Canis lupus familiaris: one gene and its partner. The protein of the gene in region 2 interacts with the protein of the main gene of each other region in a biochemical or structural test. Links are inferred from orthologs where the notes say so. Each region holds a gene or a part of one and is shown on either strand. Other genes may lie near its edges. The genes, in order: XAF1 and RNF114.

Region 1 (3,571 bases), on a different chromosome or scaffold from region 2:
AAATAATGAAAGTTTGTGGGTTTTTTGTTTGTTTTTTTGAATGAGGCATGCAGCATGAAGCTGAAGAGATGAGCTCTGGAATGACATCCAGGTGGCATCCCTGCTGGATTCTGCGACCCTCCCATTGTGTCGCCCTGGGGCAGCTCCTTCTCTCTAGTTTCCTCATCTCAACAGGAATAAGATGCCTGCTCGTTGTTCATGATGAAGAATAACCATTTGTAAAGAGCTTCCTGTTCTCGCTGATGGATGATGGTTAAGTACCTCTAATGCCAGTTGTTCTTGTTACTAGAAAATAATTTAGGATGTAAAAATAATTAGGATATTGAGGGAAATGGCTATAAACCCTGGTGTGTGGGAGGCGAGCCACCAACTCAGGATCTCAATAAGACTCATCTGATCTCCGGGCCTCAGTTGCTCTATGTACCATGAGGGAGCTATGCTGGATGCCCTGTGCTGCCTCTGGCCTGGGAGCTGGAGACACAGATAGATCCAGCTCTGCCTTCAAAGGTGGCCCAGAAAAAAAAAAAAAAAAAAAAGGTGGCCCAGGCTCTGGGAAAGTATGCAGAGAAGCTGAGCGGCTAGTGCTCTGAGAGCGTTCACCTGGGCCCATGGACAAGAGGGAGACGGAGAGAAGGGCCTGGTGGCAGCATCTGCAGGTGCCTGTGAGTCTCAGGTTTCTGGACACGCTGTCCAGAAGGCTGATGGGGAAGCAGAGGACAGAGGGCTGGGTACCTGGTGTTGACTTAGGATGGGCTGGGGGAGCAGGATGCCACAGCAAGAACACCCTCCCAGAGTGCTATAGGCCGCCTCGTCTTCTGCGGGGAAGGTGAGCCTGGGGTCGTGGTGCCCCAACCTCAGAGGCAAAGGCAGGGTCGTGGTTCTGTTTGCACCTCTTGCTGCTTGCTTTGTTGAATTTTGAGAAGGAAGAGGACACCTGTTTCTCTTTTTGATTTTCGGACGGACATCCTTTTCTGCCTTGGAGGTCTGCTCTTGAGCGGTGTGACTGGGGAGGGGAGCAGGAGGTATTCCTGGCTTCCCAACTGGAAAGCATTTCTCAAGCTCTGGGACCAGATGACGCTTATCCTGCAATTAATTGTGAGTAATGTAGCAAATTAAAAAGTTTTTTAAAAAATGACTTTGGCTTTAATAGTTGGACAACATAACAAACTAGAAGACTTGAAAGCTCCCACTACAAACACTAAGAAATGCTGGATAAAATGTGACAAACATTCATTTAAGTTGACAGTTGACTTTGTAGGAAAGAAACCATATGACTCCACGTTCTTGGAACGAAGGCCTACGCTCTAAAGCACACGTACTTGCTGACACTTTGAGGGGAGACGTGGGGTCAGTTTGGTAACAGGGCTTGGATAAGAGATAAGCCCGTCCACACAAAGTGGGGAAGGGGTGTTGGAAGTAAGCTTCCCCTCTCTCTGTGTAGAGCTCAGAACCTGTAGGTAAACTGATGGCCAATAGGAAAGCACCAGCTCACCTGAAAAGGAAAGGGACAAGCCAGCTTGTCTACCCTGGGATCTGAGCACAGGGAATAAAAACTCCGTTTCCTGAAAACTCAAAATCACAGGCCCCTGCCGTTCTTGTATTTGGGGTTCAGGTTTACATTAGACTCATGATCTGAAACTACCCAGTCCTTACAAATTAACGTGAAAACTGGGAAGTCTGGCAGAAGCAATCACGAAATCCCTCTGGAGGACACACAGCCTCAAACTGGGTCATGCTCACAGGTGGCGGCCCACCAAATGGCGACCTAGGCCTACACCCAAAGAAGCAGTCACCCTTGAGTCAGAGGCATGAGCACGAGCAATAGTAGGAAAGCCAGTCTCCAGAAACTTCAGAAAAACAGAACTATGGCAGAGATGCTGTAAACTAAGCTAATCGGGAAGGATGTAAATGAGAGAAAAGAATAAGATCCTGTGAAGAGAATAGGCAAATCTGAAAGAAAGGTAAGTGGAACTTCTAGAAGTGAAAAATACAGATGTTGAGCCTTGCCAGATGGGCCAAACCCAGTAGGATGGATTTGGGTAAGAAAGAGCAAACTTGAAGATTTGAAGAGATTACTCAGAAGAGGAGAGGAAAGTAGAAAATGTGAAAGACGTGAACTAGAAAGGCTTAGATCACATCCCACAAGTTCCATAGAAGAGTCTGGAGAATGTGTGAGAGGGAGGGAGGGAGGATTAGGTATTTAAGGAGATTATATATGATAATTTCCTAGAACTTTGATTAAAGACATACAACTTTAGATTTGGGCAGAAATCTGAGAGAGAGATTTCAGTTCATTATTCTGAGTGGGATGAGTGAAACATAAATCATTTAGTGACATGTAACTACAGATCAAAGACGAAGAGGATCCTGAAATCAAAGAAAAAGAACGTCTACACAGGGTGTCAGTTATGCAGAGAGAGGACTGGTCAGCAGCGACGGCAGAGGAGGGAGATGAGCGGCAGCCTTCCACATGCCCAGAGGGAATAAGTTAACCCAACGGCCGCTCAAGATTGCAGGAAAGAGGAGCGCCCGGGTAGCTGTCAGTTACACATCTGGCTCTTGATTTCAGCTGAGGTCATGATCTCAGGGTAATGACATTGAGCCCTGTGTCAGGCTCCATGCTCAGTGGGGTGTCTGCTTCAGATTCTCTCTCCGTCTCCCTCTGCCCCTCCTTCCCTCCCTCTCTCTCAAATAAATCTTTTTAAAAATTGCCCTCTGTGCTTTCTTTCTTAAACTATTTGAGGATATGCTCTCCCAAAGAAGGGGTAGAACAAGAAAGAGATGACCTAAACCTGGAATTTGGGAAGAGAACCCCAACACTGGAGAGAGTAGAGGTAAATCCCAGAATGACAGCTATTTATCAGATCTAGGGAGCATCATGCCCTCAAACTGAAATGGATACTACTGTGCTTGATTATACCAAGGGGAAATTTTTCAGGTCCAGTAGAAAATTTTAGGAATGACTTACTGACAGGTACCTAGAAAGTGAAGCAAATGAAAAACTGAAGCAATAACTAACTCCAGGGAAAAATCAAAAGTTATAGAAGAAAGTACATGTAATCATGATTTGTGTGGCACATTTACAATATTTACATGATCCTAATAACGTAATGTTGAATATGGTTTTAACCACAATGGGCGGGTAGAGAGAAGGAGGTGTGTATAGGATAGCAGGTATGCATAGGATAGCTGGTGTAAGAAAGAGAAATCCATATCCCTGAATCCTCTTGGATTAATAGATCATATCTAAAATTGGAAAAGAAAATAACAGTGTAAGAAGGTGCTCGAGAAATAGAAGATAAATACCAGAAGAAACAGGTAATAGGATGAGAAAGTAGCTTGAAGGGAGTAGTGGAATTTGTTTAACTGGGCCACAATATGTAAGTAAATTACATAATATGTTAGAAGTTGATGGAGCACCTGGGGGGCTCAATCAGTTAAGCATTTGGCTTCAGCTCAGGTCATGATCCTGGGATCCTGGGGTTGAGCCCCACATTGGGCTCCCTGCTCAGCAGAGAGCCTGCTTCTCCCTCTCCCTCTGCCTGCTGCTCCCCTACTTGTGCTCTCTCTC
Region 2 (3,818 bases):
CTCCTCTAGGTTTTCTTTCTCTTTCCATCTTGCAAGGACTAGATTTTATAGGGGAAATGGAATTCAGATTTCAGTTTTTTTTTAAGATCATTTATCACAATGTGGCATTCTGTAACTTTAATTAGAATTACTGGTGTTTATCTCTTTTATTTAAATGATTACTTTTTTTTTTTTTTTTTTTTACTGCTGCACATAATGAAATGTGTTCTTGGCTTACTATGAGGAGCTAGTTTATTTTTAAAAATTTTTTTTAAAGATTTTATTTATTCATTCATGAGAGAAAGAGAGAGAGAGAGAGGCAGAGACACAGGCAGAGGGAGAAGCAGGCTCCATGCAGGGAGCCCAACCTGGGACTCCATCCTGGGTCTCCAGGATCACACCCTGGGCTGAAGGCGGTGCTAAACCGCTAAGCCACCCGGACTGCCTAGAGGAGCAAGTTAGAATGCTGTGTGGAAAACTTTTAAACCTTCACTGCATTTGGAGTATGTGAGCAGAGAGCATACCTTGAATAAAAGCAAACCTCTAGGAGAGTTATTTTAGAGTGGAAGCAGATGTCCTGGGTTGGTTAAATAAGATTATCAGCCTTGGTATTAACAAAAAGCCTGCAACAAACTTGCTTTCAGCCCTGTCAGCATAGCCAGGAGTCTGGTGAGATTGTTTGCCAGAGTGGTTCAGGTCTGGTTTTCATTTTGACCTTGCTTTGGGACTGTGTTGGTACTGACTAACTTGTGGGCTCTGATTCTTCCTAAGTTCTTCCTATCCAAGATCCGGGCCCATGTGGCTACCTGTTCCAAATACCAGAATTACATCATGGAAGGTGTGAAGGCCACCACCAAGGATGCCTCCCTTCAGCCAAGGTAAATGACTCAAACACTCCTTTAGGTGGAGGTCATCTTTGCTATGAAGACAGTGGACACTTTGCATGTTGAAGGGTTTAGTTGTAGGAGTTTGGGGAAGTAGAGGTATAATTGTTATTCTGGCTACAGCTGATGTCAGTTTTTGTGTTAGGGGTGGGGTGGGGTGGGGGGTTGTGTGGAGGACTCTGATGCTCACTTCAAGTATTAGCTCTATTATTTTCAACATTTGATCTCATTCTGAAGTGATTGTCAGAATCCCTGTCATAACACATTGCACTTTGCTCCTTTTTTGGGGGAGTACAGTAGTCGAAATGTGGAAAAGTACTCAGGTTTCTTCTGTTTTCCTGCCTTTCATCTTCCAGGAATGTCCCCAATCGCTACACCTTTCCTTGCCCTTACTGTCCTGAGAAGAACTTTGATCAGGAAGGACTAGTGGAGCACTGCAAGTTATGCCACAGCACGGACACCAAGTCTGTGGTAAGATGACCTGGACTTTGTAAATTTTCTTTTATATACACTGATCTCCTGTGTATCCTTCACCTGGATTCACAGATGATAACATTTTACCATATTTGCTTCATGATACTCTATATGTACATATTTTTTGCAGTGATAAGTTGCAGTGATAAATTGCAGGTACTATGACTTTTTGCTCCTGTATACTTCAGCATGTATCTCCTAAGAGCAAGAACATTTTCTTAAAAAATCATGTAAAAAAAAAATCTTATTTTTTGTGTTTGTCACACTCAGGAAGTGTAACATTGACAGAATCTAATATTTAATACAGAATACGTGTTTAAATTTTAACAATTTTAGGGGGTGCCTGGCTGGCTCAGTCAGTATAGAATGTGACTCCTAATCTTGGACTCCTAATCGTGAGTTTGAGCCCTGCATTGGTCATAGAGATTACTTAAAAAAAAAAAAAAAGGGGGGGGGGCGTGGAATACCTTGAAATTTTAATATTGGAATATCCTTCATTGCAATATCTTCCCCCCAAATCCTGGATCTTTGTGTTATATGTAGTTGTCATGTCTCTATACCTCGGCCTTTCTTTTGTTTTTCTTTTCTTTTTTTTTTTTTTTTTAAATTTATGATAGTCACAGAGAGAGAGAATGAGAGAGGCAGAGACACAGGCAGAGGGAGAAGCAGGCTCCATGCACCGGGAGCCTGACGTGGGATTCGATCCTGGGTCTCCAGGATCGTGCCCTGGGCCAAAGGCAGGTGCCAAACCGCTGCGCCACCCAGGGATCCCTCCCTCGGCCTTTCTTCGCCATTCATTACTTTAACATAAAGAGGACAGGCCAGTTGTTTTGTCAGATGTCCTTCAATTTGGGTGTGTCTGATTCTTCATCATTAGAGGTGGAGAAGTTCCATGAGCGATGTGTGCTCCGGGTGCCACATCAGGGGTCATGGGATGTCTGTTGCCCCTGTCATTGGTTATGTTAACTTGGATCCCTTGGTGTCCACAAAGTTTGTCCTCTGCAAAGCTACCATTTCCCTAGTTTGTCTGTAGTTGTGGGGAAAGAGAATGTATGAAATGATTAAGAAAGTGCTTATCAGTCTTCTCAGTTTAAGTATCAAGACTGGCATGTGGTTTTGTTTTAATGTGGTCTATGTCTGCAGTATTACCCTTTCCTCTTTTTTTTTTTTTTTTTTTTCCCCAAGTAAGCCCTATGTTCATCATAGGGCTTAAACTGAACAACCCCAAGATCAAGAGTCACACACACCACTGACTAAGCCAGCCAGGCGCCCCCTTCCCTCTTAATGTCATTGACAGGCTAGATCTTGATACAACCTCCTCCATAGTTTTCAGTTTTTCCATTTATTTTAGGCTGCTCTCTTGACTGTATACCTAGATTTATAGGCAAACGTCAGCTCCCTTGGCTTAAAAGGTGGTGCATAGACTTTAGTATTTGCATGAGCTTTTGTTAATTGGATTAGGTCTGGTGGCATTCTTTATTTTTCTTTTGCTGCAAATTTTAAGATACAGGTGGCCTGTTTGAGAATACCCTAGATCTTCTCTTGACTTTATTGAACTCCTTACCAAGCCCACATTCCGGTTAATACAGCCACTTTTTACACTGAGCTCCCTGAGCTCTTACTGTTGTGCTGTGACAGATTTGACAGATAAATTCCCTCTGGTTTGCTTTTCCCAACTCCTCTCACTGGGGAACTTGGCCAGTTTAGCTCATTGTGGGTCATTTTCAGCCAGGCCCTATTGCTGCTAGGCACACACACTCTCTGATGGCTGTTCTGAGCACTGTTTGCATTAAATTCGGAGCATGAACTGTTCTCAACCTTTCCACAGGTAACACTAAATCCTGCTTTTAACTTACTTCGGAATATCAGGTGTGAATTCCTTTCTTCCTCCTTCTGTCTCCATTGCTCTCTGATCTACCTCTGAGGTTACAGACTGGCAGTCTGTGGGATACATCTGACCTGTACACATTTTAACTTCCTTTTTAATCTTTAAAAATCCGAAGATTTCTCAGTCTTGATGCTCTACATTTGAGAAACTGGGAGTTCAGGCAAGAGCCAGCTGGCCTAGAGTAGTTGCTGCCCACCTAGATGGGATGGGTTTATACTCATTCTCCTTTGCTCTTGTGTCTTACTAATCTGGTCACTGTGAGCACTTGAATTTGCAGCCCTTCTTCCTTGTCCTTATCATTCCATTTTGTACTCAGGAGAAGGATGCTTTCCAAGTCTGACTCTTACGTGTGTCCTCAGACCCATAGAGAGGACTGAACTTAGGGCCTAGCACAAAGTAAGACTTCCCTGCTCCTGTGGCTTGCCCTATCCTGTGTCTTCACTCCTCTCACCTCAGCTTTGCCCTCTACCGATGCCTCGCCCTTGTTTTCCTTAGATATGCCCATCTTCCCTGGCTCCTTAGTGGGAGGAATATTCAATCTGTGCTCTCTAGTGTTTAGTTGATCTTTTCCCTCAAGCTTGTCATTTTCCAGC

The links.
Region 1: the proteins of RNF114 (region 2) and XAF1 form a complex in vitro, tested with the Homo sapiens proteins (2 studies listed by BioGRID). The link is inferred for Canis lupus familiaris from reciprocal best matches to the Homo sapiens genes RNF114 and XAF1.

The regions. Positions count from the first base shown.
Region 1 is NC_049226.1:30,826,536-30,830,106, forward strand, and holds the end of XAF1 (XIAP-associated factor 1), read right to left. Parts: intron 2,677-3,571; exon of another isoform or gene 2,349-2,676; intron 1,962-2,348; exon of another isoform or gene 1,743-1,961; intron 1,096-1,742; exon of another isoform or gene 1,084-1,095; coding exon 670-1,083; 3' UTR 604-669; downstream 1-603. UniProt on the Homo sapiens protein: Seems to function as a negative regulator of members of the IAP (inhibitor of apoptosis protein) family. Inhibits anti-caspase activity of BIRC4. Induces cleavage and inactivation of BIRC4 independent of caspase activation.
Region 2 is NC_049245.1:37,095,126-37,098,943, forward strand, and holds part of RNF114 (E3 ubiquitin-protein ligase RNF114), read left to right. Parts: intron 1-750; coding exon 751-857; intron 858-1,219; coding exon 1,220-1,334; intron 1,335-3,818. UniProt on the Homo sapiens protein: E3 ubiquitin-protein ligase that promotes the ubiquitination of various substrates. In turn, participates in the regulation of many biological processes including cell cycle, apoptosis, osteoclastogenesis as well as innate or adaptive immunity.